2 linked regions of the Arabidopsis thaliana genome follow. The protein of the gene in region 1 interacts with the protein of each later gene in a pairwise test. Each region holds a gene or a part of one and is shown on either strand. Other genes may lie near its edges. The genes, in order: AT1G17970 and AT3G62310.

Region 1 (5,344 bases):
ATATAAAGCAATCAATTTTTAAGTTTTAAACATTTTACCACAAGAAAAGTCCAGAAAGATGCAAACATACCTGTACAAACCGTCGGACACGGGTCATTCCACCAAGTGCTCCACTGTCCTCATTTCGGTGTAACACTCCAAATTCGGCCATTCTAATGGGTAATTCTACATTCCATACCGCAAAACAAAAAAGATGTCAGCAAAAGATATATATGCAACACTTGCTTCGATGTTTGGAAAATGATTGTCGTTTAATCCCAGCTCGCCATAATAAAGTGAATCGTAATAGAAGCCCTGCAATAACAATTACCATCAGAGATAGCCCGTCTTTGCAACATTACAGATGAAATACCAAGAACCAAACAATATTGACTCCTCCTTTTTTTACTCTTTTAGCCAAAGAAACATAATTAAGGGGAAAAAACACAGAACAAAGCTCTTACTTCATCTCTGGGTTCGCAGGGTCCAATACATAGCTTGCATCCATACTCCTGCTCGAGAGCCTGGCCTAGAATGTGGGCGCTAGAATGCCAGAAAGTATTACGGCCTTGGTCGCTGTCAAATCCGAAAATCTCTAAGGAACAATCACCTTCCAGGGGCCTATTCATGTCCCACAAGACATGATTAACCGAAGAAACCAGAGCAGATTTTGCTAAACCCTTAGAAATCTGCACTGCGATGTCCATTGGAGAGGTCTCCCATCTCCTTCCTTCTTTCTCGATACCGTCGGGGAGAAGAGTAATCCTAAGCAGTGAAACAAAAACCAGAAATCAACTAATTGCAAAACCCTAGCTTAGCAAACAAATTGATGCACCCTAGTGAAAATGATGAACAATTAATCATAAACGTATTTACTTGATTGGATCGTGTGGCCGAGATTGAAGCTGCTCAAGCTGCTCGGCTTGGATTTCCTCGAAGAGCCTGATACGCTTGGGGATGACGGATGAGAGATAAGCCTCATCCTTGGGATGATGATTATTCGCCATCGATGGATGAGCAGAGAACGAAGGACAAATAGAAACTATAGAATATAGAAGATGACGTTGAGAGCAGAGGAGTAGATTATCCCAAGGTCAACTTCCCTTTTATAGCTACAACACTAAAGTGACTTGCGGGCCAAGCTTTAGAGCTTTTCCTTTCATTTTTTGTAATAAGGTAATAACAACAAGTGGCAGATGCACCTAACTTTACATAATTTCCTTTTGTATTTAAATAATTTTCTACAATATTTATAATTTCTTTTCAATTGAATTGTAGTTTTGTTGATAAAATGCAAATTAAAAGTATATGTATATAACCTATTTTGGCGTGACTTTCTTTGATTTAATGTTTCACATTTATATTTGTTGCATTCTCAATAATATCCAAATGACCATTATTAGGCCTATTAATGTGGAAGCTATAAAATCAGTTTGAAGTGGGCTTATTATTTGTAGTTTTGGGCTCTTAAAAGCCTATTAATGATGAAGCTAGAATCAGTTTTGCAACGTTCTCGGATGGTTTCGTGTTACAAAAATGTAGTCGGGTTCGATTTGGTTGAACCGGGTCTGGTAGACAATAATGTAATATTGGAAAGGAAAACGGTTCAGGCTTCGTGGCGATGAGCATCAACCATCAAGGCTTTGCTGGATGTCTTCAAAGCTCAAGAGTGCCAACTTTATGTATACGAGGATTGTTCAAATATTAAAACCAACCAAAGAAGTGGTCTTTTGATGTTTAAGCTTATCGTAGGATGTTTCAGCTGGACTTTGTGTCTCTTCTTTATCTCTACCAAAATAATATCTAATCACTCTCTCTCTTTTTATTTATTTAACAAGATTGTTTCGACTTAAAAGAGTCATGTAGTGACTGACACCTTTCCTATTTTTACAAGCAAGCATCATTTTAAAAATTTTAAAATTTACTTTTCTGGAATAGAAAAACCAAAAATAAGCAAAATCATTAAACTAAATTGCCCAAAAAAAGTTAAAAACCCAGAGAAATACTCAAATTAACCTAAACAATATCTCTTATAAAATCATTATTTCTAATTTGGTAGTATTCACAAAAGATATGCATGAGCTGATTTTGTTTGGAATCTCATACTAATGGTTGCATGTAAAAACAAAAACTAAAAAATCTTTAATAGTATTATATAGGAAAAGCTATAATCATTATACAAAAACTGTATCATCATCATCATCAAGCTTGAAATCACTCTCTTTCATCCTTCCCCGCGCACTGTGTCTCGCTCTCTCTCTCCCACATTTCCATTATCTCCTTTACTTTCTTTCTTTGAGAATGTCTTCTACAACAATCGGCGAGCACATCAGACTCCGACGAGCTAGAAACCAAACAATCCGTCATCTCCACGCCGCCGACGATGATCCGCCGCTAAGCCACGTCGTTCTTCCGATTTCACAACCTAATCGCTTCTGTAACTCCGCAATGTCTTCCTTCTTTCCCCTCCCGACTTCCTCCTCCAACGAAAGCACGAGGAAGAAACCGTACCAAACGTCGTCGTTTCGAGGGATGGGTTGCTATGCCGCAGCAGCAGCAGCAGCTCAAGAGGTTTCTGTTCCCTCCGTCATTCGCTACTCCGCGGATTTGGATGCCAGAATTAGAAAAGATAAGAAGAAGAAGAAGCATAAGCATAAGAAAAAGAAAAAGAAGAATAAAGGAAGCTACGAAGATGGTTCGATTAGGATTTTAAGCGAAGAAGCTAGAGACGTTATTGATGTTTGGTGCAGACCTGGATTAGGCTTCTCCACGGATGCTGTAATTGGTCGATCGGTTGATCCTCCTCGGGGAAGGAATATTCCGTCGTCTCGTCGCAAAATTGATGTGGATAACAACAATTATAATCACACACTGGTAAATTGATCTAAAGTTGGATGATGAATTTAGTGTTATTATGTTATTGACTTTGACTTTGAGGAAATGGTATCGTTTAGGCAGAAACTGTGTGGAGTGGTTGGAGCTCTAGTGGTTGTAGTTAGCTCTATGCCAATTGCTGGGCCATTGTTAGTTTGGTTTGGTTTATTAATATATGTGTTTGGATTCTCGTTTAGACAAATCATAAGGGTCTACTTTAGATGTAGCGGTTCTCTATTATTAGTTTTTGTTTCATGTGAGGATAATATAGAAAATTTCTTTGTTTGACGTGCGGGTGGTTCTTTTGGGTTTGATGCTCAATAAACTAATCGAACTCTGGTTTGGTTAGAGAATGGAATCTTATCATGCTTTTGTCTCGTTTAGCTAGAGGATGGAATCTTAGCATTGTTTAAGTTTCTTTTTGGTTGGATTCAATTGGTTAGGGGAGTTGTTGGATTTATTTTGATCAAAGAAACGCATTGCTTCAGAGGACTTGAAAATTAGGAATCTATCATCATGTCTAAGTGTTTGAGAAATGATAACACAATGCTACAAATGTTCTGCAGGGTTCTTCTGTTCTTCCCATTCGGTTTCTCAATCAAGAAACTCATTCTCATGATATCTTCAACTCTGATTCTACTTTTGTGACATCATCACGCGCTGAACCAACGATGTTGTCAAGTAGATGTCGTGGCCATCTTCCACGCTCTTACCCTGATGATCTTACCGAGGTAGAATGTTCTTGCCAAATAGTTGCCTTGTCTTTCTTGCATCTGGTAAATGTTATAGATTTGACTTCTTAGTTTATTAACTGATCACACTCAACACTATGTTAAGGTTTGACTTGTCACTTGGCTTCATATCAACTAAGAGATTATTCTAGAGTTGTCTCTTACATATTCTAGTGACTGATAGAGTGGAAGACAAATAATGTAATCGTTCTCTTTGGTGCTGTATGGTGCTGTAAAACTGTTTTGGATGGCTAATAGCAAGTGAGCAAGTTAAAGAACTAAACCATGCAGCTAGTGTAGTCATGTTCCTGCTGTTCACTGCAGATGAGGATGCTCCAGAATGGTTTTGTAATGGGAAGAATAACAGATTCCCGTGATAACTACCACGAATTGAGGCTCGATGTTGATAGCATGTCATACGAGGTATGTTTTTCAAAATCTCATGAGAAAAACACTTGCAATCTCATCTTCTCAACTTTATCGAGTGTGTTTGCTTTGGTCTACGCAGCAACTTCTTGAGCTTGGTGATAGAATTGGTTATGTGAATACTGGACTAAAAGAAAGCGAGATACATCGTTGTCTTGGGAAAATCAAACCATCCGTATCACATACTCTTGTTGATAGAAAATGTAGCATCTGTCAGGTAAACTCCAGATTGAGTCAATGGCTTCTCGAAACTTCAGACAGATCATGAGTTTCATAATGCTATTCCTTATTGTTTGATGGTGACAGGATGAGTATGAGAGAGAGGATGAGGTTGGGGAATTGAACTGTGGACACAGCTTTCATGTCCATTGCGTGAAACAATGGCTTTCGAGGAAGAATGCTTGTCCGGTCTGTAAGAAGGCAGCATATGGCAAGCCTTAAAAGACTTTTGTATCTCGTCGGGTTTCTGATAGCTCAAGATCTTTCAAGCCACCTTGCTGTATAGAGATCTGTATCATCTGATACTTGATTCATATTTGTTGTTTTTGCATTTAGCAATCACAATTTTTTTTTTTTAAGATCTTATATTCTTTGTTGGGTCTATTTATGTGATTGAAATCAAGAGTTTGAAATCTATGTTTTCTGTTGCCTAGGTAGATTTAAGACAGGTAGAGAGTAATTTAGCATATAGCATACACGCACGTAACTAAGAATCAATGTTTTAACGTTTGAGTCTGCATTTATATATATATGTGAAGTAAACTCAACCCAGACTTTTATTTATGACAGAAAAAGTGTTTGGGATCCATAGACAAGAACACATTACATTAATCTTATCCAAACGAGTTTTACATGAGATCATGCAACATCTAAGAAAAGCATATAAATATAAGACATAAAGTAACAAGAACCCCTCAACTTAACATCTCGAATTTCCGTAAGTGCTCTGAGATTCTTGGCAATGTAGGGAAAAGCCATTATTACTTGCCATTGGTTTTGCCTAGAGACGTGAAGCTCAATCTGCGAATAATCAGACAAACAAAAACAAACAATCTTTGTCAAAATCCAAAAATGTATATTCAAACGTTAAGAGTAAACATAGACACAAAATCACTTACTTGATTATCGGTTTTCGCTGTTGTACTGAAGGTCTATGTGCCGCATCGGGCTGTCGCGTGGGAAGAACCTTTCAACAAAAGAGAAATCAGACAGGAGGAATAAGATCAAGAGAACAATTTATGTATCGAAAATTGATAAGAAAAATAAGAAACCTCAAGTTCTTCCACTGCTTCATAAGGGAAAGGAGAGCCATTTGAAGTAGCTTCGAATGGAGG
Region 2 (5,856 bases), on another chromosome or scaffold:
CCAAAGGTGCGACTTTTGTTATTCCCTTTACGCCTATATAATGGCGGACGCATCTCCCAAGTTTTAAACATATATCCCATTCTCTCCTTACCTTTGAGAGATGTCGACATCCACTGTAGAAACTGGATATGGTGGTCGCATCAGAGTGACAGTGGCTAGAAATGACAGAGACATTACCAGTGAAGTGAGAACATTTCTGTGTAATAAAGAAAACGCGAACAAAATCATCGGTCTGGATACAGAACGATCGGTTGTAGGAGGCGATAGCGAATACCCACCGGAGAGCAAGCTCGTGATTCTCGAGCTCAGTGATGGCCAGAATTGCCTAATAATCCCGCTTCCTTATGTACAAGGTAATAAGCTGCCCGTTTCTCTCACCAATTTCCTCAATCTTCCAGATTTCACCTTTACAGGTGTTGGTATAAACAAGGCTTTGAAAATGCTCAAGAGCGAGTGTGGTTTGACCTGCAAGAATGCCGTTGATATCGGACCTTCGTCGTGGGCCTCTCTCAGCTAGATTCGTGGCGAGATCAAACTTCATTTCAGTCATTGGGTCTCGTTTTGGAAACCAACAAGCCCTATCTATGAAGATTGGGACAATGACAGTCTTACCGAGGATCAGATCAATCTTGCAGCAGCGAATGCTTACTTGGCTTTCAAAGTTGGGAATTTGATTAGAGAAGCTATGTATTGAGTCATGCCTCTGTTTGTTTTTTTGTTTGTTTCGGTCTCTCCTATGTTTTGTCTTGTTTTGCTCGTCAATTGCCTGCAGTTCAATGGACGATTTTGTCACCATCTTAAATCATTTTGGCCCCAAGGTCTAATATTTGGTAAGGTATGCCCGTATGGGATTGTTACTTGTTAGAAACTTCATCACTTTGCAACACGCGACATTCGTAAATCGCAACCCCCATTACTTTACCCGGCTACCAAAGGGTTGAATCTTCTCACCAAAATAATTTAGTCCATAAAAGGTACAAATATTCGGCTTGTCATCTCGTTAATTATTGGGCTGGGCCTGAAATTTTAAAACCTATTACAAATCTATTATTAGCCCACAAACCTGGAACAGTTGGGCTCTTTTAAAAATTTAAAATTATGGGTACTGGAATCCAACGGCAGAGACAATGGATAAGCCTACAATCGTTATTAGACCTTTTTAGTCTGTCTGATTGTGTACAGAAGATTTGTTTCAGTTTAGGCATTATTGCATTTTGAAGACTTGATGGAATGGTTTATGTGTTGCCATGAAGAACTTATTCAGGAAGATAAAATCTAACGTTATGACATTACTAATATTTGCCTCATGAATCTTAAAGGTCAAGACAGCTGTACTACATGCATTTAACTTTCGACTCTTCGGTTTCCTCTCCAAATGATGTGGCTTTTGAAATCTAACGTTATGACATTACTAATATTTGCCTCATGAATCTTAAAGGTCAAGACAGCTGTACTACATGCATTTAACTTTCGACTCTTCGGTTTCCTCTCCAAATGATGTGGCTTTTGAAATTCCCTTTTACCTATAAAGATGCAAGTATATCTTGAGCACTTGGATTCATCATGTACCCTCATTATTCCAGTAAAATATGAATTCGAAGTGTTAAGACGATAATTTCAGTATATTCAGATATTGGGCCGGCCTGACAACTTTATACTTATTACAAAAGCCTATATTAGCCAACATAACTAACACTTGGCTCCTTTTCCAAATATTTTGAGGGGGCTAAAGTATATATTGTTTAGATTTGGGGTCAAATTGAAAATTATAATTAAACTTAAGCCGCCTCTCTCTTCTTCTAACTCACGCAGCCGAACCCTAGCTTTCATAAAATTTTCATTCATCATCGTTCTTGCTTCTTGCTAAAGGCCTTGCCTTGTGCTTCCTCGTCCTATCTCTCTTACCTCCGTAATTTGTTCGTAAGAGAAGTATCGTGATGGGTACTGAGAGAAAGAGGAAAATTAGTCTGTTCGATGTTATGGACGATCCGTCTGCTCCGGCGAAGAACGCCAAAACCAGTGGTCTTCCCGACGGCGGAATCAACAGTCTGATCAATAAATGGAACGGGAAGCCTTATTCACAGAGATATTATGACATTCTGGAGAAACGGAGGACTCTACCTGTCTGGCTGCAGAAAGAGGAGTTTCTCAAAACGTTGAACAACAATCAAACCCTAATTCTGGTTGGTGAAACCGGTAGTGGTAAAACTACTCAGGTAAAGTTTTCATCTTTTCCATTCAGATATTTGGAATTTGATATGTAGGCTTGGGAATGATTGTATATGGAGGAGAGTTTCTTTTGTCTAGAGAATGAAAGGCTAATGCTGAATTTTGTTTATTTGTACAGATTCCACAGTTTGTGATAGATGCTGTGGATGCTGAAACATCGGATAAGCGTAGGAAGTGGTTGGTTGGATGCACACAGCCTCGTAGAGTTGCTGCCATGTCTGTGTCCCGTCGTGTTGCTGAAGAGATGGATGTAACTATTGGGGAAGAAGTTGGTTACAGCATCCGTTTCGAGGACTGCAGTAGCCCCAGAACGGTTCTTAAGTAAGCATTGTCTCTTCTTTTAGCTTCTCATCTTTATAATTGATGTATTTGTGGACTTGTATCTAATCATGTGTTACTCACTATGACCAGGTACTTGACTGATGGTATGCTCCTGAGAGAAGCAATGGCGGACCCTCTTCTAGAGAGATACAAAGTCATTATTCTTGATGAGGCCCACGAAAGGACTCTAGCCACAGATGTGCTGTTTGGTCTTCTGAAAGAAGTGTTGAAAAATAGACCTGATCTTAAGTTAGTTGTGATGAGTGCAACTCTAGAAGCTGAAAAGTTTCAGGATTATTTTAGCGGTGCTCCTCTGATGAAAGTTCCTGGTAGGCTTCATCCAGTTGAGATCTTTTACACTCAGGAGCCTGAGAGGGACTATCTTGAGGCTGCTATTAGAACTGTTGTCCAGATTCACATGTGTGAGCCACCTGGCGATATTCTTGTTTTCTTAACTGGGGAGGAGGAGATTGAAGATGCATGCCGCAAAATCAATAAAGAGGTTGGTAATCTTGGGGATCAAGTGGGGCCTATTAAAGTAGTGCCACTGTATTCTACTCTTCCACCTGCGATGCAGCAGAAGATATTTGATCCTGCTCCAGAGCCTGTAACAGAAGGTGGTCCTCCTGGGAGAAAGATTGTTGTCTCCACTAACATTGCTGAGACTTCTCTCACCATAGATGGGATTGTCTACGTCATTGACCCTGGTTTTGCTAAGCAAAAAGTCTATAACCCTCGAATCCGTGTTGAGTCTTTGTTGGTGTCCCCAATTTCAAAGGCAAGTGCTCACCAGAGATCTGGTCGTGCCGGTAGAACACGGCCTGGAAAATGCTTCAGGCTTTACACAGAGAAGAGTTTTAATAATGACTTGCAGCCGCAGACGTATCCTGAAATATTGAGATCAAACCTTGCAAATACAGTTCTGACCTTGAAAAAACTGGGTATTGATGACTTGGTGCACTTTGATTTTATGGATCCCCCTGCTCCCGAAACACTGATGCGAGCCTTAGAAGTTTTGAATTACTTGGGAGCACTGGATGATGATGGTAACTTGACAAAGACAGGTGAGATCATGAGTGAGTTCCCCTTGGATCCACAGATGGCAAAGATGCTCATAGTCAGTCCTGAATTCAACTGCTCAAACGAGATTCTCTCAGTTTCAGCTATGCTATCAGGTACGCCCTTTACCTTTATCTTTTTGTTTTTGCTACCTTGGGTTAGGTATGTAGTTAAGGGTAGGCGTAAACTTGCTGGCAGTTTCCATTCTGCATATATTCTAATGTGCATTAGATCTCATCTTTTATCGTTCATGTGTATAATTGTCATTTAGAATTAAGTAATAGAGTTAGGTTGTCATCAGCTGTCTCTAGTGTGGATTCTGCATATCCATGGTTAGGGGGTGTCCTAAGCAATTGTTGATGCAAATAGTTGCAGTTTCTCAGTTATTCTCTCTCATGAAGCAAATGGTATCAGTCTCATCGCCTCTATGCATCTGCTGACCTCTTCCCTGGACCTCTTCTGTTATAATTACCAATTCTTTCTCTAGTACCGAATTGCTTTATTCGGCCTAGAGAGGCTCAAAAAGCAGCAGATGAAGCTAAAGCTAGGTTTGGACACATTGAGGGAGATCACCTCACATTGTTGAATGTCTACCACGCTTTCAAGCAAAACAGTAAGTGATTATCCCTTTATCTTCCTCATTGGTTTATAGTTGCTTTAGACAAATGTAATGACTGTAACTAACTTGATCAATGTGAATTCTCGCAGATGAGGATCCAAATTGGTGCTATGAAAACTTCATCAACAATAGAGCGATGAAATCTGCAGACAATGTTAGACAGCAGCTAGTCCGGATAATGTCAAGATTCAACCTGAAGATGTGCAGCACTGATTTTAACAGCCGCGACTACTACATCAACATAAGGAAGGCCATGCTTGCCGGTTATTTCATGCAAGTGGCTCACTTAGAACGTACTGGCCATTACTTGACCGTCAAAGACAACCAAGTATGTCAAAACAAATTCAGTTTAGGTTGTTTCCATTTAAAATGTTTCTCTTTGTTCTAATCTGATGGTTATATTGGCAGGTGGTTCATTTGCATCCATCCAATTGCTTGGATCACAAACCGGAGTGGGTAATCTACAACGAATATGTTTTGACTAGCCGGAATTTCATCAGAACTGTGACAGACATTCGTGGTGAATGGTAAGTTCTTGCATTTCGTGTTCTTGTTTTCTTTGGTTATTATCTCTCGGAGGTTTTCTTTTCTAAAAAAATCTCTCTTTTGCCATGTGGATTCATAGGCTAGTTGATGTTGCTTCTCATTATTACGATCTTTCGAACTTTCCCAACTGTGAAGCCAAACGTGTAATCGAGAAGCTTTATAAGAAGAGAGAAAGGGAGAAGGAAGAGAGCAAGAAGAACCGGAAATGAAGGAGAATCTTATCCTCTCATGTCGGCATCTGATTCTACTTGGACAAGAGGACCAATCCGTGAAGCCTGTTTCATAATTATAGTTACCTATTTGATCATAAGATTCTAGCAATTATCGTTTTCGGAGCTGTTGTGTTGAAACAAATATTTGCATTTGACCCAAATGGTTGTTTCTTTTAAGAGCTTTGAAGATTCTTATTACTGAGTTCCCTTTCAGGCTTTCTCTATGAGTTATGACAATTAGCAATAATAATTTTGGAAGATTATAATTTTCATATATGATTCATGATTGACAAATCTGAAAGAGAAAAGAGATACGAGACGCAAGGCGAACAGAGACATTACTTGATATATTAGTCAAAGTTATGTTTTCTACCAACAACGTACAGAGATCTCAATTATTCTTAAACACAAAGGTTTGATCAACGACTTGCTTATTTCCATGGGGCAGCGAGAATTGCCTGAAATTCGTGATCTACATTCTGAACCTCTTGGTCAAGAACAGCTGCTTGAGACTGCATCCGAGCTATCTCATTGTCTAGTGTGACTTTTGCTTCCTTCATCAACACTTCTTGCCTCTGCAATTCAACAATATCTTCTTCATACTTCCTTCTTTTATTGTCATTCTCTGTGATCTTTTCCTCAACAGCTTTTAATTCCTCCAATGCGCATGTCTGCCTTTCTTTAATGGACAGTATCTTGGCTATCCTAGATCGAGGTGTTGTAACATTGAACCCGTGTTTCTCAAGCTTGAGGAAACACTCGTCGATCCTGTTAATCGAGCTTATTGGATCGTCGACTTGTAGATTGTTGACTTTCTCTAACAGCGAACTAAACATCACCATTCTACCAATGGCGTCTCCTTCACGGCAC

Evidence for each region.
Region 2: the proteins of AT1G17970 (region 1) and AT3G62310 interact in a two-hybrid assay, tested with the Arabidopsis thaliana proteins (one large-scale study listed by BioGRID).

The regions. Positions count from the first base shown.
Region 1 is NC_003070.9:6,182,752-6,188,095, forward strand, and holds AT1G17970 (RING/U-box superfamily protein), read left to right. Parts: upstream 1-1,965; 5' UTR 1,966-2,280; coding exon 2,281-2,853; intron 2,854-3,419; coding exon 3,420-3,584; coding exon of another isoform or gene 3,585-3,656; exon of another isoform or gene 3,657-3,908; coding exon 3,909-4,007; intron 4,008-4,092; coding exon 4,093-4,227; intron 4,228-4,316; coding exon 4,317-4,451; 3' UTR 4,452-4,722; downstream 4,723-5,344. Other genes in the region: AT1G17960 (Threonyl-tRNA synthetase), read right to left, coding at 71-165, 222-294, 444-744, 856-986; PAPS1 (poly(A) polymerase 1), read right to left, coding at 4,991-5,030, 5,129-5,196, 5,282-5,344.
Region 2 is NC_003074.8:23,056,643-23,062,498, reverse strand, and holds AT3G62310 (RNA helicase family protein), read left to right. Parts: upstream 1-1,767; 5' UTR 1,768-1,937; coding exon 1,938-2,216; intron 2,217-2,347; coding exon 2,348-2,550; intron 2,551-2,640; coding exon 2,641-3,725; coding exon of another isoform or gene 3,726-3,880; exon of another isoform or gene 3,881-3,978; coding exon of another isoform or gene 3,979-4,049; exon of another isoform or gene 4,050-4,094; intron 4,095-4,096; coding exon 4,097-4,222; intron 4,223-4,317; coding exon 4,318-4,556; intron 4,557-4,636; coding exon 4,637-4,755; intron 4,756-4,853; coding exon 4,854-4,983; 3' UTR 4,984-5,259; downstream 5,260-5,856. Other genes in the region: AT3G62320 (Polynucleotidyl transferase, ribonuclease H-like superfamily protein), read left to right, coding at 101-498, 577-694; DUF7 (agenet domain protein (DOMAIN OF UNKNOWN FUNCTION 724 7)), read right to left, coding at 5,418-5,856. UniProt on the Arabidopsis thaliana protein: May be involved in pre-mRNA splicing.